2 linked regions of the Drosophila melanogaster genome follow. The protein of the gene in region 1 interacts with the protein of each later gene in a pairwise test. Each region holds a gene or a part of one and is shown on either strand. Other genes may lie near its edges. The genes, in order: DZIP1 and Cep290.

Region 1 (5,287 bases):
GATTGGGGAGTGATAGTTAAAGTAATTGAAAGGAGTTCGATTTGTGCATATGAAAAAGATAGCTCATCTAAGGTATAGGTTCATTGTAGAGTCAATGTTTTTGAGTGTTTTAAGTTATAGGGAGTACACTTAAGTGAATTTGCATTTGAAATTACTTCACAAAATTATTTTAAAAATATAAATTTAATAAAAATAAAGAAAGCATATGTACAAAAGCTATTTTTCAGTTTTCTAAGCTATAGGAAATCTAATTCTACGTGTTAAAATTAACAAAAACATGCTACGTGCCACAAAAAAGAAGGTATCACTCTCAGATTTTTGATCATTGAATTTGGAGGATCCATCTTTGTTACCTTTTCGCCCGAATCGCTGGGCAAATAAAAGACCAACACCGTGAGGAATGTTAAAGCCACACATGGCACAATCAAATTAACGGTATAGAACAAGGTCTTACGCCGCATGGTCAACTTAAATGTGATATCTAAAAAGAGAAGATACTCAACTGAAATGCAATGATGCAAAACAAATAACATCGTACCTGAAAAGGGTTCCAGTGTATCGGGGTAATACTCCTCATTTTTGGTAGCCGGCACTTCAAGTATGTCCCATTCCACAGACAAATAAAATTCCGTGAGATCGATGCCAACTTGCACTAGGTTACTGCCAGGAATCTGAAAAAAGATTGGGTTATTTATTGTAGAAGTTAAATTATTTAGATACCTAACCTGATCCAAATGCTTCAGATCCACTTGGGCACCATTGTAGGTCCATGAACCGAATTTCATGAAGCAAATTTGTTCGTCGTACGGAAAGTATTCGACATTCATCTCACAGGATGACTTGTATATAGCAGGTGGCTCCCAAAAGACTTCTCCCGTATACTTCAGAGTGGCTTTCGTCATCAGAGTTACCTAATAATATATATTTCAGTTAACTATGAACACATTATTGAGAACATCGAAGCTAACTTCATAGTTGCCATCCCAGTTGTTGTACAACACAATGTCCGGTACCCAAATGTGCTCAGATGGCACATACAGCTGTTCAACTCCGCCGTATTCCTCTGGATCCCATCGCAACTTGTAGTCGAACCAGCGCTTTAATAAAATCCATTAATAATAGATAATAACAGTATATGGCAGTGATAACTACCTGCTTCACCCACAGATTGGTGGTCATCACCTGATTCTTCAGATTGACCTCAATCAGCTGAGACAATTTCAGACCTAACCAAACCGTCAGGGTCTCCGTGTTGTTCACAACGGGCCTAATCAATCGATTGTAGTTGCTCAACAAATCATCATAGAGACGTTTGGTGTCCGGATTTGCCTCAAAACTTATTGGAGCTAGGAAAGTGGTGGTAATTCAGGGGAAAAACAGAGAAAAATGCCAAATTAAATTCCCAAACAAATGGAAAATTTCCCAAAACAAATTGCTGCGCAGACGCCGCTCTCTTGCTCTCTTGTGGGCGCAGCTTCCTGACATCTGTCAAATACTTGGGATACAGCATCAGGGTATCGGAATTTTCACAGGATTTTTCTCGGACTGACGCACAAGTTTTCGCAGCTTACCCGTGGAATTCGCCAACGGAACAAGTAGGAAAACACACAACAAACTCCAATGCCACATTTTGTTGCTGTTTTCTCTAGCTTTTTGTGCTACTTATTGCTTATAATTGAAGGTTTTTAACTAAACTTAACACATTTTGCTAGGAGTTTCCGTTTAATACAACCTCACGGTTGGAGAGTCCAATCGCAACTGAGTTGAGCCTTTTGACAGATGCTTCAACGGAGATGCTCGATAGCTCCTAAATGTTTTATCTAAAAGGATCCTGCCATTTATCGTGTCTTTCGCGGTTCTTTTGAATTATTTGTGTTAAAAGATAATAAAATAACATAACAGAATGAACAATAACAAAAGTAATTCTAATCAATACTAACAATATTAAAAACTGTAATCTCTTAATGGCAGTTAGTTTTAAAACCTAATAATAGGAATGAGCATTTTTTACGATATCATGCTTGTAATATGCATTTTCAGAGGCTCAACAACCCTACTTTCAACCTGTCGTCCTGACAACCTAGTTGTAGTTGCTTTGGCAACGTGTAACCAAAAACTAAGAAACACACAAGGGTGGTAAGAAAAGTGGCAGATAAAGTTTGGCAAAGAACGGAAGCAAAACAAAGAAGGCGAGGAAGAAGTAAACAAACTTTCGATTTTTTTTGCAGTCCTGGGTGATTCAGATTCAGAGAAATGGGATTCAAGGGCAAATATCCGCAGATGGTCCGTGAAACGGGCTTTAAACTGAGACAGTATCGCGATGGTCCACTGGATTGGAGACTTATGGGTATGGAAAATTATGTTAAAAGTAGTTAACACTTAGTTCATAGCGGTATTTCCGGCAGGATCCTATGAAACAGAGCGGATTCTCAGGGAGCAAAACTTCGAGCTGGTGGACAAGGCGTTGACCCACCTTTCTGAGGCTCCACTGGGCACAGTGCTGGAAACTCACATTCTGGACAGTGGCATTGCCAAGTACTTTGTGATGTCTCAGTATGCCATACAGTATTTGATGTGCTGTCGCACTTACCTGGACGAATGTGTCACAGATCTAAAGGAAGCGCATACGACGGCCCAGGAGGAGATAGCTACGCTGCGAAAGTCCCTGAGTGAGTCAAACAACGAAGTGGTGCAGCTGCACAAGAGAATCACCCAGATCGAGGCCATTCGCGAGGTGGTATACCCCTGTCATCTGTGCACTAAGAACTTCATCAGCAACGAGGCCTTGAATGTGCACATTGGTCGGAAGCATCGTGTGGCCTCACCGCCAAGTCTGACATCCGCCACCGGGAAGGAGAAGGATCGGGATAAGGCCACCGATGTGCACCTGATAAACACCATCAAAATGGAGCTGGAGATCAAGCAGCTAAAGGAGCGCCTGAATGCCGCCGAGCGGAATATTAAGGAGCGGAGCACGGGATCGAAGCGGGTAAGTCCGCGCCAGGAGCAGCGCCACGTGGGCATACAGAGCAATCTGGCGGAGCCAAAGGAGAAGGACGAGGACAGCGGAGAGGCCAGGCAAAGCGAGGCCAGCGAACGGAAGGAGCAACTCACAGGATTGGCGGAGCGACTGAGCAACTTTGAGGAGTGGCAAACGCAGCTCAAGCAGAGCAACGAACAGTTTATACAGGTAGAATCAAGTAATCCTTACTCCTGTGGAAGTACCATTACAATTTATATCCTTTCAGGACATTAACAAGAGGCTGGAGGGCCTGAGCCACGCACTCGAGCAGAGTAAACAGGCATCCGCCAGCACGCCTCCGCTGGAAGATCGGGTGGCCACGCCGTGTCTGGAGGATCTGGAGCGCATACTCACTGAGAAGGTGGCAGAGATTGGAAAGGTCAGCGCACACAGGCTGGAAGAGGTGGTCTATCACCTTGAGGAGGGCTACAAGGAGAAGCTAGGGGCACTGGAGCGAGAGCTCAAGCAGCTGAGTGTTCAAAAGGTGCAGCCAGAGCCTGTGCAGACTGTGCCAGTTGCCTCGAAAATACCCAAGCCGGTGGTTCGCAAGGAGGAAACCAACATTGATCGGATTCGCAAGCAGGTGGAGAGCGAGTTCCTCAAACAGAAACATGACGATGACACCTATTCCATTGAGGAGGCGCCACGAAAAGGTTCGGAGAAACCATTCCCACAGCTGGTGACCCAAGTTCAAGTGGTGGAAAAGGAGCAGCCAAGTGCTGGAAGTTCGGACAGCAATCCGACTTATACGAAATCTCCAAGGGAACCTGCTCCTAATAAGCAGGAAACGAAAGAAGCCACGGACGTAAGCGATAGTCTCAGCCAAGAAGAGACGGAGAACGAAGAGGAGCGCAGCCTGACAGAGGAGGAGGGGACCGATGTTCCCACCTCCGGGTCGGAAGCAGCACGAGAGGATCCAACGCCAAAAACAATCAAGCCTTCTGGAAGAATCATCAAGTGAGTGTTTCGATGTTAAGCTTTCTTAGAGTAATAATAATCCACATGTTTTAAGGAGCCCTCAAAAACCACTTACTCGCAAGGATGCCCGGAAGATGGTCAACCGGAAGTTGATGTCTCACGGCTTCGATATGAAGTCCAAAGGTATTTCGCATAACTCTTTGAAGAGAGTGAACTCCGAGCTGACAGAGCACCGCAACAAACTGAAACTGGTAAGCCTATAACTGCCAAAAACTAATGAACTTTTGACAATTCTGGAATACCCTTTAGCAACATCCACATTTTTACGCCACTCGAAATCGCATCCGCAAGTTTGTCGAAAAACTGTGCTCCGCCAAGTTCTCGGAACGCGCGGAAATGTTGCTGAAGCACAAGAGTCCACTCAAGCCAATGGAGGTTCCAGGCAAAGGGATCCCGAGGTCTGCGATCTCTGAAAAGTCTGAAGAGGATATAGCCAGCTCTCAAGGCGAAGAGCAGACGGATGAGCAAACGGATAGCAGCGAACAGCAAACTCGAAGCCCCAGTCCTCAAAGACTAGTTAGTCGCGATTTCAAGGCTCGTCTGGAGGAGATCCTGGTCAAGCCGGCGGCCACTATTCGAGGAGCTTCCAAGTCGTCCCTGAGTTCGAGGCCAGTTCCGCTGCCCAGGAAGCGGGTGATGTTCAACACCACGGAGGACGGGAAGAGCTTCAATGACAGCGATGATAACCTAAAATGAGTCAATAAAGATGATATTATAATACTTTGGGTATAAATGTCAACGATACGTTTAATAGCCAATATATCATAAGATAATTATATTCCTTTATGAGTACCTATCACCTGTTCAATGTACCGTACTTAACTAAAAAATATTGTTTTTTAAATGAATTTGCATATTCCGGTCACACTACCTTTTACCGATAGCTGCGCGCCGTGCAATGGATAGGCAATCGATAGGCAATCGACTCGCGCTGTAAACAATCGACGTCACTAACCAACGTAGATGAAAATTTTTTAGTACGTCGCGAGTAAAACGTGCATTAAATGCAATAAAAGGGCAGCTGGCTAAGGATCGGAACGATTGAAGTCAGCCAACCTCAGAGGGGTGAGCAACCGAGGCAGTGAATCCGCGAATCCGTGCATCCAGCTGACCAAAGGGCGAGATTAGCCCAGCACCGAGTTTCCATCCGCACACGGACACGGCGCACACACACACAGGCACACGCAGCCCGTGCCCATCGATGAAATAACATACATAACGAACGTATACCGAAAATACACGGGTTACGGGAAATAGCAGTTGCTGCAATCGGCGGATAAGCGAACT
Region 2 (17,803 bases), on another chromosome or scaffold:
AAGGTCGGAGCGATTTATACGCAATCACCGCTATGAGGAGGCCATTAAAGCGCTGGAAACATCCCTAATCTACATGCAGGATGCCCAAAAACGGGTGGCTCTGCCCAAATCCAAGGAAGTTCTGGACACATTGACCCTCGATTTTCAGCGCAAACTGCGTCAAATTGAGATGCGAAAGACGCAGCATGGTCTGAACAAGCTGAAGGATTATGCTCCCTTGAAGGAAACCAGTCCCATGCTGCCCCTGCGACCAGAAGCCGGAGCAAGTGGAGGCGCAGGAGGATCCGCTCAGTCGGTGGCCAAGGCAATCGACAAAACAGTGCAGGACTTCGATGCCAAGTTCACCTCCTCCTTGGTGGCAAAGGCCTCTAGCACACTGGCCCATTCGGAGCCCCATATGGAGACGCTGAAGAAGAGCGATTCTGCCCAGGAGGAGCAGGAACACGATACTTGCGATCAGCGGCTGGCGGGCAGTGGAGACCTGGACCTGCCATCCTTGGCGCCCTTGGAGTTGCCCTCCTTCGATTACAGCCTGTTCACCAGCTCCTCGGCTCCTTCGTTGGCCAGCTATGCCGGCATGGCTGAGAGCTTCCAGAAATAGGCCTGGTTAAGATCCATTTGTAAAACTTCAACTAATTTGAAAGATCTCGTGGTAATGCAGTGCCCGCTGAGTGGTGATTAGGATTTAATTTTAGGCACGTTCTTCATTTCAACGTTTTGTGCAGTTCCCTTTGTGAAGTGTATTTGGGAATTCTCTAAATAAATTAAATTAGGTTAATTCACAATAATAATAATAATAATAATACTTTGTGTATTACAATCTAAGTCGTTTATTTGGCCATCAGACCCTTCAGCAGATCATCCATGTCGGTTTCGGTGTCGACATTCTTGAGCAGAAGCAGCACCTGTGCCTCCATCTCGCAGAGGATATCTGGTTTCTGGTAGGTAATGATCAGCGTGTTGAACTGGTGGTGGACAGAGAGGCTCTCCTGCGCGGGCTTGACCCCACAGCGGTCCAGTTCCGGGACCGGGATGACCTTGTAGTACTTCTTGTTCGAGGTGCGCACGACTATGGCACGCTTCTCGGGATCGGCGGTTACGCTGTATGTGTCCAGGGAGTAGGGCATGTTGCGGATGCGCCACTCAATGTTCTTCTTGGTGATCCGCTTGGTCAGCAGTGGCGCGGTGTTGCTCTCCCGCAGGGTGAAATCTCCGCCGGCCAGGGAGTCCGTTTCCTCGCCAGATCCTGGTGGCTTGTTGCCCGACCAGTTTAACTGACGCGGCTCATCGCCCAGCTCGATTTCCCACTCCGACTCGCCCATGATCTTGTTGCTCTTCGATTTCCAGGCCCGCCGCTGCACGATTCCCGTGTCCATGTTGTACTCCTCGGCCATTTGCCTGCCGTCCGGGAATTTGTAGAGCACCTTGCGGGCGCGGCCACTTATCATGGAGTTCTTCTCCGCCGCCTGCAGGTAGTTTAGCCAGTTCTGGTAGGACATCTCTGGGGATTGATGGGATTACCTAGGCACACGTCTCCGCCGGAGATTCGAATATAACAACTGAACGGGGCAGAAAATTTGATCGATGGCGCAAAGTTGAAAATTTGTTGAGAAGCACATTGCGATGGAAACCTGGCAACCCAGCTGCCAGCTTGTTTACATCGCAAGCCGGGTTACCAAGGCACTTTAAAGCATTACATACAATACCTTATGATCGATTTGTCTTGTAATATTTGGAGGTAATGGTTAATTTTAATGCAAAATACGTACTAATTCTTGCCATTTTTTTTACTTACTAATAAAATGATTTTGAAATTCGAATATTTTCCATGAATTCAGCTTTTTTCTGGCTACCCAATTTACAGTTGATTCCAGCGCGCGAGTTGGCAGCCCCGTGCGTACACAAAAAAACAGAGTTGACGTGGCCGGCGCAGTGACTACATAAAATATACGCATATTTCATCACGGCAGCGATTTAATTATTGCTATTTAAAGTAAGCAGCCAGTCACTCCGGCCGTAGTTTATAAATAGCCACTAGACCGTCCGTCCCGAATCCGTAGACTTAGCAGCTAATTTGGACGCATTTCTGCTTACAGGCGGCAGTCGAAAAAAGCGAAAATCCAAGAAGCGAAAATCGAACGAAAAAGGGAATTAATAAAACATTAAAAATGAGTTTGGTGTGGACTTTGATCGCCGGATTTCTCTATGCGGAAATCGCACTGGTCCTTCTGCTGGTGCTGCCGGTGCTCACTCCTTACCGCTGGAACCGGTTCTTCAAGTCCAAATTCCTATCGATGTTGGGACAACAGGCGCACATATATTTCCTGCTGATCATGGGAATTCTGGTCATTTTCCTCCTGGAGGCCATTCGCGAGATGCGCAAGTACTCCGGCTTGCAGCAGTCTAACGAGGTCCACTTGAACGTGGAGATGCAGCACAGCATGAAGCTGTTCCGTGCCCAGCGGAACTTCTACATCTCTGGATTCGCCATTTTCCTTGCCCTGGTCATCCGGCGACTGGTAAACTTGATCTGCACCCAGGCCAATCTCATGGCCCAGAGCGAGGCTTCCTTCAAGCAGGCACAGAGCGCCACTGCAGCCGCACGTTCCTTGCTGGAGAACAAGAACACCGAGAAGGCCAAGGAAGCCGGCGAGGATACCACTCTCATCGAGGTGAGTCCACGTCCCAAACCCCTGCATCCGATCCCCAGGAATGGCATGTCTAGAGAGCTAACACCTAAGACTTTGGAGTTCAATTGGCTACTACCAGCTGTAAAGATATGGCAATGCATATAGAAGGTGTGGTCAAAATATGGCGAGATAATGTCTTTAGCCGACTAAATCTATAAAATCTATACTTCATTCCACTTTCTGGTACATTTTCTCAATTGGTTTTGAATATAAGATACGAAAAGGCTTTAAATGTAGTCTATTAACGATATAGAACTTTAAATACCAGTATATATCATGATTAAAATCTTAAACGTAAACTTAAATCAGTTTGAAGACCGAGTGAATTTGTCATAGGCTTAGTGCTTTTGTTTTGACCGCAGCTAAACGTTTTGAAACCACACCCAAACACATATGTTGGGCCACGATAAACAGAAGCCACCACTCGAAAGTTTAAACCTCTTGTTAACTCTTTAAACAGCTGTCAAGACTGCGGAGACGTGTGCAAGGACTCACCGCCCGAGTGTCCTAAGTATCCCCACCTAGAGCACCCACCTTATATCCATTCCCAAACACCCAAAACGAACAAAAATCCAATCGAAACTCAAACGAAATCCGAATTTTGCAGCTCAACAAGCTGCGCGAGCGCGTCCAGGAGCTAACCTCCGACTTGAATCGCGAAAAGAAGGACAAGGAGGCGGTTAAGTCGCAGGCGGAGAGCATCAACCGCGAGTACGACCGACTCACCGAGGAGTACAGCAAGCTGCAGAAGAAGATAACCATCGGCGGAGGCGGAAACAAGGATGATTAAACTCACTGGAGCCAAGTCCAACATTTAAATAACGATAAGACTTATAAGCATGGCGGTGGGGCAGCGAAAGCAGGCACATTTAAAAGATTATAACGATTTCAAATCGATAGAAAGCACACACATCTTATTGTTAATCCTCATAGATACAACTACATATACCATTTGATAATGATAATGGGGTATATTGATAATGGTCCCTCAACTCAATGTTCGTTTCGTCCGAAGTTTTGTATTTAATTCGTATGTGTTAAGTTTTGTTTGCCACAGTAACACACCCAAAAAGCGTCGTGGCTATTAAAAGAACAACCAAAAAGTACCCATCCAGTTGTGATCGATTCGATGATTCATCTGTTGGCGCGGATAGTCCACATCATGTCTGATAGTACACGGCAATGACGTCAGACGTCGCAACCTGTTTGCATACTTGGAGCTTAGAAATCGGAGGCGTTACATTATCGGTGTGCGAAAAGGGCATCGAATATGTTTCCTTGATAATTACCCAGAAATGCTAATCAAATTCGCATATTTAGTGATCTATCGTGGTTTTGCAGTGCATACTTTAATCTTAACTTGAACAGAGATCATCCTACATAAATTTGCTGTTCAATAAACTGCATTAAAATGCTTACTCCCACCAGAAGCTTACAGAGAAGCTAGGAGCTTCAGATCTCACATAGTGCCACCATTTGGGTGGCATGTACAAACAGTCACCAGGTTGCAGGAGCAGCTGGTAGAACTTCACCTTGGCTACCAAGGGATATGTTTCAGGATCCAGTTGAGCAGCATCTATTCGCGCTGTATTGGCCAAAAACTCACTGTCGTGGGGATACAGATTGTCTGTGTCTGCAGGAGCAGCTAGGATGATCCTCTTCGAACCGAATACCTGGCACAGCAAGTTGTGCTTGGGATCGTAGTGCATGGGAGATACGGTTCCAGCTGGTCCCAGCCAGGCTTTGATGTCCACAGCTCCTGGGGTATCTTCGTTGCTGATGGTGCAGTAGTCGGGAATGGATATATCCTCTTTGAGGGCTGGTATCTGGGCGAAGAGCTCGTGCTGAGCGAGATACTCGATATTTTGGCCAGCCTTGCTTGGTTCCTTTCCGAATTGTCTGCTCAGGAAGTCGCGGATCTTCACCAGCTGCTGGGACCATTCATCGCTGGCATAGTTGGAACCTATTTCAATGGGCACCGTGCGATTCCCGGCCACTTGGAGAAGGTAATTGAGATCCAGCCATTTGTGCAGTGCAGGCCAATGCTGGATGGTGTTGAGCAGGAGTGTGGGTTGTCCTGCCTCAAAGCACTTTGTCTGGAACTCTTCTAGACTGGGAGCGTCCAGTTGGGGTATATCACAGTTGGAGGTTACTCGGGTTAATGGCTCTAGAGTTGGAAGTGGTGCGGAATTCAGTGCTACTGCTCCATCCTTGTCGAGATAATCCATTAGGGCGACTTTCAGTTCACTCCAATCCTCCATGCAACCCAAAAGTTGAGCCTCATCGAGGATCTCACTGCACGCATCCTTCTGGGCGGGACTAGTGCTCTCCAAGAGAAGGAAAAAAATCTAAAATGTATATTTGTAGTTTGTATGGCTTAGTTAGCATCTAAATCCCACCTTGAAGCAACAGGCTATGGCGTATATCTTCCTCGTGACCAAGGGAACCTGGCTGAAGTGCCCTGTGTGAATGCGTTCCCAGTTCCTGTCCACCAGCGCACCTACCAGATATCCGGTTTCCTCCGCCCCGGAATCTCCGCCAGACCTCAAGTTCGCCAGGTGATCCGCGGCTCTTTTGAGTATGTAGCGCGCCTCGACTTCACCACGGACCACATTTTCCAGATCCACCCAGCGGGGCAGCAGCTGCGTCAGCTCCAGGAACTCACTATCCATAGAATGTTAAACAACTATTATTTGTTTACCTTTTAGCTTACATTCAGCGTTGCCAGAGTTCATTTGTAAGCATTAAATATTTCGATTAATCGATGTTTTAAAATATATTTAAAAATTGATGAGTTGTTCAGTACTTCAAACATGTATTGCTTAAGGATGCCTTTAGTAAATTATAAATAGTAGCTCCGTGGGTCCTTCCATGGTGAAGATACATTTTGCACTGGCACGAAATGGAAAAACGATTTCCATGGGCGGAGTTATGACCGCCGTTTTGGACGCCGAATGGCATTGTGTGCCCCAAGTGCCACTAATTACGGGTTTTAGACTAAGCTGCAGCTTGTAAACAACAATCATGAGACAAGAACCCGGATAGTGGAATTGCTGACGGTCAGAGCTGAGGAGCATGTCGAGGACTTCGGATGACATCCGGAAGCACCTGAAAGTGCGGCGCCAGAAGCAGAGGGCCATTTTGGCCATGAGATGGCGCTGTGCCCAGGGAGGATTGGAGTTCGAGCAGCTGGACACCTTCTACGGAGCCATCAGGCCATGTAAGACCACTTTTCCAAACCACTTTCATATGTGTCTAAACATATTACAATGGACAATAGATCTGTGTGTGGCGCAGTTCTTCGGCATTATGCCTTTGTCGAATATCCGGAGTCGCGATCCCCAGGATGTGAAGTTCAAGGTAAGGAGCATTGGCCTGGCAGTCACCGGTCTCTTCCTTTTGCTCGGTGGCATGAAGACCTTGGTCGGTGCCAATATTCTCTTCACAGAGGGTCTGAATGCCAAGAATATCGGTGAGTTTTAGATGGTATGGTAGTGTGATCCCAACTGAAAGCTCAATAGTGGGTTTGGTTTTCCTTATCGTGGGCATGGTCAACTGGCTAAACTTCGTGGGCTTTGCTCGCTCCTGGTCGCACATAATGCTGCCCTGGAGTTCGGTGGACATTCTGATGCTCTTTCCGCCCTACAAACGTGGCAAGCGAAGCCTTCGGTCAAAGGTCAACGTCCTTGCTCTGAGTGTGGTCGTCCTGGCAGTAGGTGAGATTTCTGGGTTATCCTTTCAATGGTTTCCAGAAGAACTTTCTTTCAGGCGACCACATGCTGTACTACGCCTCTGGCTACTGCAGCTATAGCATGCACATCCTGCAGTGCCACACAAACCACTCGCGTATTACCTTTGGACTTTATTTGGAGAAGGAGTTCTCCGACATCATGTTCATCATGCCATTCAATATATTTTCCATGTGCTATGGATTTGTAAGTTAACTATATATATTTTAGTTAGTTAGTTTGAATAATGCTCTCTTTTTTAGTGGCTAAATGGAGCCTTCACCTTTCTGTGGAACTTCATGGACATCTTTATTGTGATGACCAGTATTGGACTGGCGCAAAGGTTTCAACAGTTTGCCGCTCGAGTTGGCGCACTGGAGGGTCGTGTAAAATAATCCAAACTATTTCAATGTATTTCTCTTTTAAATCCCCATCCCATTTAGCATGTTCCCGAAGCCTTGTGGTACGACATTCGGAGGGATCACATTCGCCTTTGCGAGCTGGCCAGTTTGGTGGAGGCCAGCATGTCGAATATAGTGTTCGTATCCTGCGCTAACAATGTGTATGTGATCTGCAACCAGGCGTTGGCTATTTTCACGTGAGTCATCTGTTTGTAGCTACCCCCTAGTCTCATTTCAAATCTTTTTAGCAAACTGCGGCATCCCATAAACTACGTTTACTTCTGGTACTCGCTGATCTTCCTGCTGGCCAGGACGAGTCTGGTTTTCATGACTGCCTCCAAGATCCACGATGCCTCGCTTCTGCCCCTGAGGTCCTTGTACTTGGTGCCCAGCGATGGCTGGACGCAGGAGGTGCAGAGATTTGCCGACCAGCTGACCAGCGAGTTTGTCGGATTGTCTGGATATCGTCTCTTCTGCTTGACAAGAAAGAGTCTCTTCGGAGTGGGTAAACTTCACGAGTCTTCACGATTCCCATACTGATCCCAGCCATCCTCTCCAGATGCTAGCCACCCTGGTGACCTACGAACTTATGCTGCTGCAAATAGATGCTAAGAGCCACAAGGGACTGCGGTGCGCGTAACTAAATGAGTGAACTTTAGTCCAGTTTAACTTAACTGAATGTATAATAAAATAGTCAGATAATCAGATTTGAAAAAGGGTAGATTCCTGCGAGGAAAAGTCAGTTAGCAGCTCATGTGTGAGTTCAGCCAACCCGACTCGGGCGGTTATTAAATGGCCAAAAGGCTTCCAGGATAATTGGCCATTCCGAGTGTCATTTCAATTTCAATTTTTGGCCAGCTGTCATTCAGCGAGGGCGAATCCACAAATGGGAGGGCAACCAAAGTCGCTTGCCATTAGTTTCAATTATTGCTACACATGTAGGCAAACGTAATTTTGAAGGCAACTCGATGAGTTTTGAAAGGAGAAAGGAGTTGGAGTGCACTGAAAAATATGTTCGGAAGCTAAAGTTCTAAATAATAATAATCTTATCTTTACTGCTTACTTCTAAACCCTTTCAAAAGCCACTTGGTGTGCTCTGAACTAAATACCATTTTTTTTTCGAGTGTAAGAAAAGTTAACAGAAACACGAGAAGGCGGCGGAAAAGTCGCTTCGAACAGAAATGGCTTTTCAATTTCAAAACTCGGCCTTTGACACTTTGCCAATTAACACTTTCCTGGTTACCGATTGCCATTTTTGTTTGTGGTGGGCCACCGGCTGCTCCCACCGCCGATCCTTGCCGCTATAGCCGCCGTTGAGGCAATTATCCTGTCAGGAAACTTTCTACGCAGCCGAAGCAGCTAGCAAAACAGAACGCCAGCAAAAACAAAGGTCCTGCAGGTTGGTCACTTGAAAGGAGCGCGCCGGCACCCTCGTTTCCGGAAAAGCAACCCCCGAATGGGTTTTCAGTCGTAGTTTGTTTTGGGCCAAGTGTCATGGCAACCGGAAAAACTGGAGAGCTGGTGTGGAAAATCGGGGAATATTTGGACGCAGAACGTGAGTAACCGCCGAGGAGCGAGGCCATGAGCCACCAGGATGAGCATGGACATACCAGAGACCGTATCCCTGCGCAAGTTCCGCGACTTTTCGGCGCGCCAGAAGCAGGAGCTCTACGAAACGCTCCTCGAACTGGCCGAGTCCATCGATGAGCTGCCTAAGAAGTCGCTGAGGAAAACCCTGGAACTCACCCTGGCCGTTTTGGAGTACAAGGGCGAGCAGGTACAGCAGCTGCAGGAATCAGCAGCCGGAGGACTCTCCTCCGACCGCCGCCTGCAGGATGAGAATGAGAAGCTGAAGCGAATGCTCCAGAAGTTGGAGGACGAACGCGATGGCCTGAAGAGCAAAGCCAAGGAGGTGAGCAGTAGATCATGTAAAGTACCCAAGCTCAAGGATACGCTTTTTTCTCACTAGTTGGGGGAGGAAATCCGTCAGTTGGAGCTGCGCCTGCAGGAGGCGGCGCAGCAGGCGGAAATCAGCGACAAGGATTCATCGGATCCCCTGTCCGAGCTGGACAAGCAGGAGCAGCTGCTGCAGAACATCGACTCCAAGAACAAGCACATCAAGCGGCTGCTAAAGGAAATCGAGGTGAGTCATATTATGTTTTGCATTCAGAATATACTATATTCATTCCCTTTCAGACACTGCAAAACCAAAACATAGCTCAATCGAAGACCATAGTGCTCCACGAGCGGGAGCTGCAGACCATCAAGGCGAATCTCGTGCAATTGAGCCAGGACATCACCAAGGTGGAGCAGGAGCGCAAGTCCTTGAAACAAAAGGAGCAGCAGCAGGCGCTGGAAATCACTCGCCTGGAAGGAAATCTAACTTTCCTGGAGGTGGAGCGCGAGAAGCAGGAGGTGGAAATGCGTCAGTTCCTGGACAAATACGAGGCCAAGTCGCTGGGCTGGAGGCAGGCGCTCGACGATCGGGACAAGGAGGTGGAGCGTCTCAAGAAACAACTGGAGGGCAAAAGCATCAGCTCTGGCCAAACCAATTCTTCCAACAGTCAGAGTCAGCAGGAGGAGGAGCACGCCAAACTACGACAGGTAAGGATGAACTGCCGATATATTTTATCTAGATCTTGAGCTCGCTAAATGTTCATCCCTCGTAGCTTTTGGAATCCCGGGAACAACGCATCGAGAAGCTGGAGGAGAAGATCAAGTCAATGGCGGAGGAGATGGTTAGCTCCACGCGTGCGATGAACCAGTTGTGTCAGGAGAAGGAGCGAGCCCACGATCCCGAGCAGCCGCGAGCCTGCTGCCAGATGATCGAGGAGCGCCTGCGGGAAGCCACCGCCCGGTGTCAGCAGCTCTCGGAGATGCTGGAGGCCGCCGAGCAGGACAACGTGCTCAAGTCCCAGCAGGCCCTGCACGCCATTAGTGCCCTGGAGGCCTACAAGCGTGACGAAGATGGCCTCATTCCCGCTCTGCGACGCTGCTCGGGATTGGAACAGAAGGTGGCAGCACGCGACAAGCAGCTGAGGGCCTACATCCAGGAGCTGAACTCCCTGCACGAGGTGGTCCAGGAGAACGAGCTGCTGCGGCGAAAACTTCACATCCCCGACGATGTGGTCATCATGGCCAAGAACGTCCATTCCAAGCAGCGCAACAAGGACAAGCAGATCGAGCGACTGACCCTCAAGCTGAGGACATCCGAGGAGCTGCGTCTGCAATTGAAGTTGGAAAAGAGTGAACTTAGGCGGAAGCTCTTGGAGTTGCAGCAGGACAGTCCGCAGACCTTGAACGAATCGCTGCAGGCGCCCAGCGAAGTGGGTGAAGTGCCTCATAGTGTGCATCTGGAGAATTCGCCGAGACGTGGCCAAGGCGACGGGGCAGCCAGTTCCGAGATGCAGAATCGATACGACGAAGTCCTGGCCGAAAATGAAACACTACGCTCCGGCATGTACGAGATTCTGGAGAAGCTGCGGGAATATGATGGTGAGATAACCATAACATATTTCTTGAATAACTATATGTATTAAACATTATCCATGTAGCCACCTCAGAGCACATAACCATCGATTCCGATCTCTTGCGCCGCCTCATCGAAGCTCTGCCCGGCGGAACGACCACTCCGCAGCGACTCCAGGGTCAGCTCCTAGAGCTGAAGGCCCGAGAGGAGGCACTGCGTCAGCTGCTCGAGCAGCAGAACTACAGTGACTCCGAGACGGGAGAACTGTCCTCTGTGCATAGTCTGTGCGAGGTTCCCGAGATTGCAGAAGAGCATCCTGTCGAGGAGGATGCTGTGCTGAACACAGCCACCAGGCCAAGCTCGCCCACTGAAGCCACGATGGGATTACGCAGACCCACTGTACCAGATCCCGAGGAGAAACCCACGAACGAGGCCCTGGCTGAGCTCTCCATTCTGCGCAAGCACTACGACGAACTTCGTCTTCATATGTCCGCCGATGGCAGTGATCTGATGAATCGCAACCAAGAGCTCCACGATCAAATGATCGCTTTGGAGTTGCAGTTGGAGCAGCAAAGGAATTCCTACTCCTACATGCGCAGGGATTACGATCAACTGCTGACGGAGACCAGAAAGCAGGAACTTCGCTTCATAGATGATAAGGCGTCTCTAGCCAGGCAGTTGGAGCATAGCAAGAGTGAACTATGTGAAGCTAGAGAGGAGTTGGAGCAAGTGAATCGAAGGAATCTCTACACTGCGGAGGAGCAGCAAAAGTTGGAGCACAGGAATGCCATCTTGAGCATGCAACTTGGCCAGGCGATGGAGCAACTGCTGGGCGAGCTGAAGCCCACGGAAATATGCGCTGAGTACGGTATAATCAGGGAGAACTATCAGCTGGATTACATCACAGCCCAGGACTTCGAGGAGCAGCAACAGGAGCTGCTCACTTGGAGGAGCAAGCAGGCGGAGCTGCAGAGGGAGACCAAGCAGCTGGAAGGACTGCTCCATGTGGCCAATGAGCAGGTTGGAGATTCTCCTTGATACCTACCCATGGGAGATCTAATGCCCATCCTCTTTCCAGATTCACTCCCAGCAAAGGCTGCTCAATGAGATCACCGATAACCACATCAATCTGCGTCACCTGGTGGCCGATCTTCAGAGCAGCTCCGACGAGAAGCTAATGCTGGCCAAGGTCCAGAGGGATCTGGATAGTGGTAAGCACAGACTTATTCGAGGAGAAGATCAGTAGCCAGCATGTCTCTCTTTTTTTTTTTAGTGAAAGCCGAGTGCTCCCGCTTGGAAACAGAGCGAGAAAAACTGCAGCTAAAGGCGGACTGCCTGCAAACCCAACTGGAGGCCAGCGAGTTATCCCTGAAACAGACGCAACAGGACTTCCAGCAGGAGCGCACCAATAGCGATATTAAGCACAAGTGAGACCAAGTGGTGGATAATCCCTAGCAGATCTGACTTTCTACCAAATCCCACAGATTCCTCCAGCATTCATTGTTTATGCTCAAAGATAAATATGCCAAATTCACGCCACTGGTCTTCCTTACCAACTTTGTGTTCGCCTACCAAAAGTTCCAGCGTCGCCTGGAGGAGGAGCAAGTGCAGCAGCGACATAGAGATCACACCGCTCTGATTGATGAAGTGACCGCCGTGGTCCAGGCCAAAATTGGTCTCAACGAGGAGAGTTCCCAGCAGTTGGTGAAGCTCATAAAGTCTGAAACACAGACGAGACTCTTGGAACAGCGCTGCGAGATTCTGCAGGCCAAACAGGAGGAGCTCGTTCGGGAATTGGGTGAGTTGAGGATGAGCCAGGCCACCGACACCGAGCACTGGAGCACCATCCAGGCCTTGTTCGGTGAAGGAGAGCCAAGAAGTCAACTCAAGGTGGATGCAGAGACGAATACCGATGCAGTGGCTCCTAATCTGGCCATGAGAAGGGCCGTCCAGTTGATAGACAGGGAGTCATCGCCCATTGGGTCGCCTCTCCGAAAACATCCGCACCTGGATACAGCCACTCAAACGCTGGAGGCGCAAGTTGAGTTCTCGGAGACGGCAGTCCAAACCAATGGCATTCTCAGCCAGCAGAATCAAGCCGTTCAGACAGCGGATGCAGTGGAGGACAATAGGAGAGATTCCCGCGCGGAGCTACAAAAAATGCAAGAAACGTAAGTTCCCCCAAGTAAAAAATGTAAATAACTATTTGCAACTATAAATGGTGATGCCCAACAGTCTGCAGGAAGCCAACCAGCGCATCGAGATCCTTGGCAAGCAGTTGGAGGCTTCCAGATCGGAGAGTCGCGAGTCCGCCAGTCCGCAAGGTGGTGTGGTGGAGAAGACCATACTCTCGTTCCACACCCTGCTCCTGGAGAAGGACCAGTCCATACAAAAGTACCAGGACCTTCTGCAAACCGAGAGGGATCAGAGTCAGCAAGCACTTAGCAAACAGGTGGCTGAAAACGAATCCCTGAGGGCCACGGTTAACAACCTGAACTTCAACATCAAGACGAAGGATGCAGAGATTCAGGGCCTTAAGGAGAAGCTGAGACAGAAACCCGAGGTCCCCGTGGAGCGCAACCCGTCGACGGATTCGAGGTCCAGTTCCAGTTCCGATAGCTCGGTCAACGAGCTGACGGATGAGAAGATCGAGGAGCTCTTCGAAAGCAGCTCAGTGGAGAGACCACCCCAAGAAGAGTTGGAAGTGCCAGTGGAAGCAGGTCCAGAGAACATAGTTACCGAAGAGCCCGAAGGTGAGGAGGAGAAGCAGGACACCGAGGAGCTGAAGGAAGTGCCGACGCTGCACAAGCAAATCAAGGATCTCAAGGACAAGCTGGAGTACAGCGAAAGGAGCCTCAAGACGAGGGAAGAGGAAGTGGATATACTAAAGGAGAAGTAAGTTGTAAAGTAAGTAGTTGTGCATGATCTTAATCCGTTACATTCGACAGGTTGAAGCTGTGCCAGGAGCGGGAGAAGTCGGTCGAAAGCACCGTGAATCCCGAACTGGATCAGCTACGCATCTTTCTGGATGAGAAGGACAAGCACATCAAGGATCTGATGGATACACTCAAGAACTTCCACGTAATGCCCAGCAATACCATCATATTCATCTCTACTATTAAAAGTTTTAAACATGCAGGACGACCAGCAGCGCTACATCAAAGACACCTCGAACTTCTCGGAGGACCAGATAGCCAAGCTGGCTGCCGATCTCAACCGCACCGAGGCCACCAACAAGATCTATCACACCCAAATGGAGGCACTTCGCCGCCAGCTGGCCAACGTCACCCAGCGCGAAAAGCAGGCCAGGGATCTCAGCCAGTCGCTGCGCCAGCAGCTACTCAAACGCCCTGTGGTCTCCATTAAAACGGAACTGAATGCCCGGGTTAAGAACGAGAACCAGCTGAAGAGAATCCAGCAGCTGGAATTGGACTTGGACGAGGCACGTGGCCAGCTGCAGCGACAGCAGACGCTCCTGGAGGCCAAGCGCACGAGGAGTGCCAATGAGGTGCAGCTCTGGGAGAAGCAGAAGCGGTACCAACAGCAGGCGGAGAAGACCAAGGCCCGGCTGGAGGAGACCGAGCTGGCGCTGGAGAAGACCCGTGCCCTTCTCCAGGCAGCGCGCACCACAATAGCGCGCTTGGAAAAGGACAAGCAAATCCTGGAGTCCAAGCTGGGCAGGAACGGTCCGCCGAGCAACAGCTCCGGTGGCAATAACCTCAAGTGCTGCCGCACTCCATCCTGTCCGAATCTCCAGCACGTGGGTGTCAGCAAGTTCGCTCCATCGCCTTCGGAGAGTCCGGAGACCTACACGGGTCCCAGCAGCGAGTGCAGCTCTCCGGCGCATCATCACACCCAGATCTTTGACCAGAGTCAGTTGGACCTTATTGAGGCGCTCAAGTCGCGCATTGAGCTGCAGCAGCGCAAGATCATCGCCATGGAACTGGAGGGCAGGGGCAGCAATGCCCTGACCACGGAGCTGGAAAAATTGCAAGAGCGCTGCCAGGCCATCGAGGCGCAGAACATCCGACTGGAGGCCAGGAACCTTCAGCTGCAGCTCGACTCGGATCTCTTGAGGCAGGGCGACAGCAGCGATCGGCTGCAGAAGCGAATCAAGCACTTGGAGGAGTGAGTAGAGAGCGGCAGTTTCCACGCGTGTGAATCGAGACTTATGCACCACCCCCATTTTTCAGCTACATCATGGCCCTGAAGGAGGAGATGGCTCGCAACGAATCCCGTCGAGAGTTGGGCAGTGGCCTCAAGGTGAGCACAAATCAGGGCCAATCGGCGGAGCAGACGATCCTCTCGCTGCGCAATCTCGTGGAGAAGTTGCGATCGGAGAACAAGTTCCTGAAGGATGGTCGACGATCCACGGAGTCGCGCAGCTCCATGGACTCCACGCCTGCAGAGGCGGCACGTCTGCAGCAGCAGCATGCAGAGGCGCTGGAGAAAATCAGTGCTCTGCAGCAGGAGTTGCAGAAGCGAACCACCAAGTGCAGCCAATGCGGGGGACGCAGCAAGGTAGGTACCGCTCGTAATAATACACCTTCGGCAATAATTGTGTTTGAAATTTAAAAAAAAAAGGACGCTGCCAACGAGGAGCTCAAGTTCATCAAGGAGCAGTTGGTGAAAAAGACGCAGCTGCTGCAGAAGGCAAAAGTACTTCTGACCCGTGCTGCCGCCAAGGAAAAAGTCCTGAGGGAACAGCTGGCCTTGTGGAAACGCAAGTGCTCCGAACTGCAAAATGTGCCCGTGATCGATGAAATCAGCGAGTAACCAGTATTGATCATAAGATGAATGTTGTACAGGAAAAAAGAGGAATAAAACTAAAGTTTTTTTCACTGCTGCTGTTTTGAATTTGGCGCCCAATGCAGAGTTGCCAGATCGAGGTGGGCTAAAATCGTTGGGGATGTGAAAGTTACGGGATTCCCCCGAATTTTGTTTTACAGGATATTTAAATTTATTTAATAGGATATTTAAACCATGAAATAATGTATCTTTTGCCAGATTAAGAAAACACTAAGCCATTTGCCAGTCACAGTGAACAGTTCACCAACTATCGCTTATCAACTGTATGGCTTGGAATACCCCTGATGCCCACTAATCGGATGAATTAAACAACAATAGCTACCGGCAATCACAGTAAAATGATCCACTGATTGGACTTTGTCGCTCATTCCGCGCACAGCACTGGCAGCAAGATGACCTACCAAGGATACAAGGAACTGCTTGTGGAGCAGCAGGGCAAGCTGCTCGTGGCCAAGTTCAACAATCCGAAGAAGAAGAACTGCATCAACAGGGTCGCCTACCAGGAGATGACCCGTGTGTTGACCGAGGTCAACGACGATGAGGGCGTAACCATTGTGGTTTTCACCGGCGTGGGTGACATCTTTACGTCCGGCAACGACTTGTCCCAATCCTCCAATACCGATGACATCGACGCCTTCTTCAAGCAGTCCAATGCGACTTTCAAGGTGGCACATCTGTATATCCCATTTCATTTTTTTATAATTTATCCAATCCCTACTTGAAGGCCATGGTTCTGAGCTTCGTCAACTGCAGAAAGATTGTGCTTGCCCTGGTGAACGGACCTGCCATTGGGATTGGAGCCACCATTGTGGGATTGTGCGATGTGGCTTGGTGCTCCGAAACGGTGGGTATTGCCTCAAATTTGCTATGGCAGCATGACTTGACTGATAAATACCATCGCAGACCTACTTCTACACGCCATTCACCAAACTGGGATTGGTGCCAGAGGGCGGTTCCTCCTATATGCTGCCCCTCATCTTGGGGCGCTCAAAGGCGTCGGAAATCCTGCTGCTAAGCGAACCGCTGAGCGCCCAGGAGGCATATCAGTTCAACTTTGTTTCGAGGATCTTCAAGGCCAGCGAATTGGAGTCGGTGATTTGGCCCAAATTGCGTCAGTATTCCGAGCTGCCGACGAACTCCCTTCTGCAGGGGAAACGCCTCGTCAAGGATGGCTTCCTGGAGAATCTCATCAAGGCCAACGAGGCGGAGTGCAAGCAGCTGCTCCAACAGTTCCAGCATCCCGAGTTTGCCCAGGCCATCATAGACTTTGCCAGCCGTAAAAACAAGGCGAAATTATAAATACGGCTTAAGTTTATTACCGTCTCAGTGATTTTGTCCGCCTATTTTAAAACCCAAGAGATATGAATGCTAATTCTTGTGGCACAAACATCAAAGCAAATAGACTTCTTAGCGATTAGATTAGGGACATAATGTGTGCCTTTTGCACCATAACCATAGGTTAATCTCTTGCACTATCTGTGTATGTACATATGTACCAATATATTGCCAAAGTGCTGATTAAAAACAATTGAAGAACGCCACCTACCTGTTTGTGAATGAATCGCACAGCTGTGGTCAAGATAATAGAATGTGTAATATATGAATAAATATATAAATATATTTTAAATTCCATCGATGTTCCCGCCCTTCTGCGAAATTCAAATTGGATTCATGTATAGTTCACTTTATTATTGCGTACATACGAGTATTCGTTTATTAACATATCCTTTGATGCTTCTGCCGCGAGTGTGTATGTATATAATATGTATATGACCGTATTGCACTTTATACTAGTTCAACATTGAGTGAGTAGTTCCCCCAGGAGCTCTGAGATCCTTGCCGCACAAGCCGTGATTATGAACTGGTGGTGACTTAGATTACACTACGCTTTACATTCCTGTATCAACTAGATCTATATAGATCTAGATCTAGGCCAGACCATGAACTCTGACTGTGAGACACTCTGCTAGGGAAATTCGTTGGCCTCTCTCCGGATTTCAAATACACTCGAGCTTAGTCCTTAATCCTAGCTTAATCCTACGCGTGCCTGCTCATGTACAAATTGATGATAGACGTAGAAACATATCTATAATAGCCAGTTAAACTTAGGCTGCGTTTTAAGTTATTTCCAATAACTGCCCCTCCAAATTCAAAAACTTTACAATTAATCAACAAAAAGAGCTACGGGAGAACGATGTTCTCTCAATTTACCTAGTCCTAGTTAAGCTACCTTAGCTAAACTCCCCCCTTAGACTATTTAGCACAAGGAGTGCCATTGCATGCAGCATCACCATATTCCACCACGTGCTGTGCCATCCAACCGCACCACCATGATGCAGTTCGGCGAAGCTTTCGCCTGGAAGAGATTGCTGATATGATATGGGTTCCTACTCTAGATGAATACTCTACACCAACTCACCGTTCAGAATGTGAACCACTATGGTGAAGTTCTGGAACTCACTGATGGAGCATGTGTAGTTGCCGGAATCCGTTTTACTGATCTTCGCTATCGAGAGCGTCGAGTTGGCTCCATCCTCCATCAGTTCGGTTTTGACGCTGCGAGGATACGTAATAAATGAACCTTACTGATGGTGACCCCGACCAAGCTAAATTCACTCACCTCACTCCCCCGCGAGTAACGTCGTAGTTAAGGATGTTGTCCATGTGCTTCCAGAAGACCACGGAACTGGTCATGGCCACGTTTCG

Evidence for each region.
Region 2: the proteins of DZIP1 (region 1) and Cep290 interact in binary tests that used the Drosophila melanogaster proteins (3 or more experiments, as listed by UniProt).

Annotation. Positions count from the first base shown.
Region 1 is NT_033777.3:24,513,342-24,518,628, forward strand, and holds DZIP1 (DZIP1), read left to right. Parts: upstream 1-1,936; 5' UTR 1,937-2,253; coding exon 2,254-2,347; intron 2,348-2,405; coding exon 2,406-3,190; intron 3,191-3,248; coding exon 3,249-3,979; intron 3,980-4,034; coding exon 4,035-4,191; intron 4,192-4,249; coding exon 4,250-4,696; 3' UTR 4,697-4,787; downstream 4,788-5,287. Other genes in the region: nAChRbeta2 (nicotinic acetylcholine receptor beta2), read right to left, coding at 354-481, 539-671, 726-911, 969-1,097, 1,153-1,346, 1,572-1,629. UniProt on the Drosophila melanogaster protein: Component of the DZIP1-Fam92-Cby complex which promotes ciliogenesis in sensory neurons and spermatocytes by acting downstream of Cep290 to initiate early ciliary membrane formation and thus transition zone (TZ) assembly.
Region 2 is NT_037436.4:835,953-853,755, forward strand, and holds Cep290 (centrosomal protein 290kDa), read left to right. Parts: upstream 1-7,973; 5' UTR 7,974-8,413; coding exon 8,414-8,731; intron 8,732-8,788; coding exon 8,789-8,962; intron 8,963-9,015; coding exon 9,016-9,423; intron 9,424-9,488; coding exon 9,489-10,314; intron 10,315-10,373; coding exon 10,374-11,308; intron 11,309-11,366; coding exon 11,367-11,499; intron 11,500-11,561; coding exon 11,562-11,715; intron 11,716-11,772; coding exon 11,773-12,459; intron 12,460-12,523; coding exon 12,524-13,183; intron 13,184-13,236; coding exon 13,237-13,369; intron 13,370-13,427; coding exon 13,428-14,416; intron 14,417-14,481; coding exon 14,482-14,809; intron 14,810-14,872; coding exon 14,873-15,064; 3' UTR 15,065-15,128; downstream 15,129-17,803. Other genes in the region: CG42554 (uncharacterized protein), read left to right, coding at 1-601; CG13901 (uncharacterized protein), read right to left, coding at 831-1,499; CG13887 (uncharacterized protein), read left to right, coding at 2,169-2,672, 3,298-3,480; JMJD5 (jumonji domain containing 5), read right to left, coding at 4,106-5,038, 5,090-5,362; Gr61a (gustatory receptor 61a), read left to right, coding at 5,766-5,910, 5,971-6,162, 6,212-6,406, 6,459-6,625, 6,682-6,804, 6,862-7,016, 7,068-7,320, 7,379-7,459; Dci (Dodecenoyl-CoA delta-isomerase), read left to right, coding at 15,490-15,762, 15,822-15,941, 16,001-16,396; dpr20 (defective proboscis extension response 20), read right to left, coding at 17,329-17,453, 17,517-17,653, 17,718-17,803. UniProt on the Drosophila melanogaster protein: Essential for ciliogenesis in sensory neurons and spermatocytes.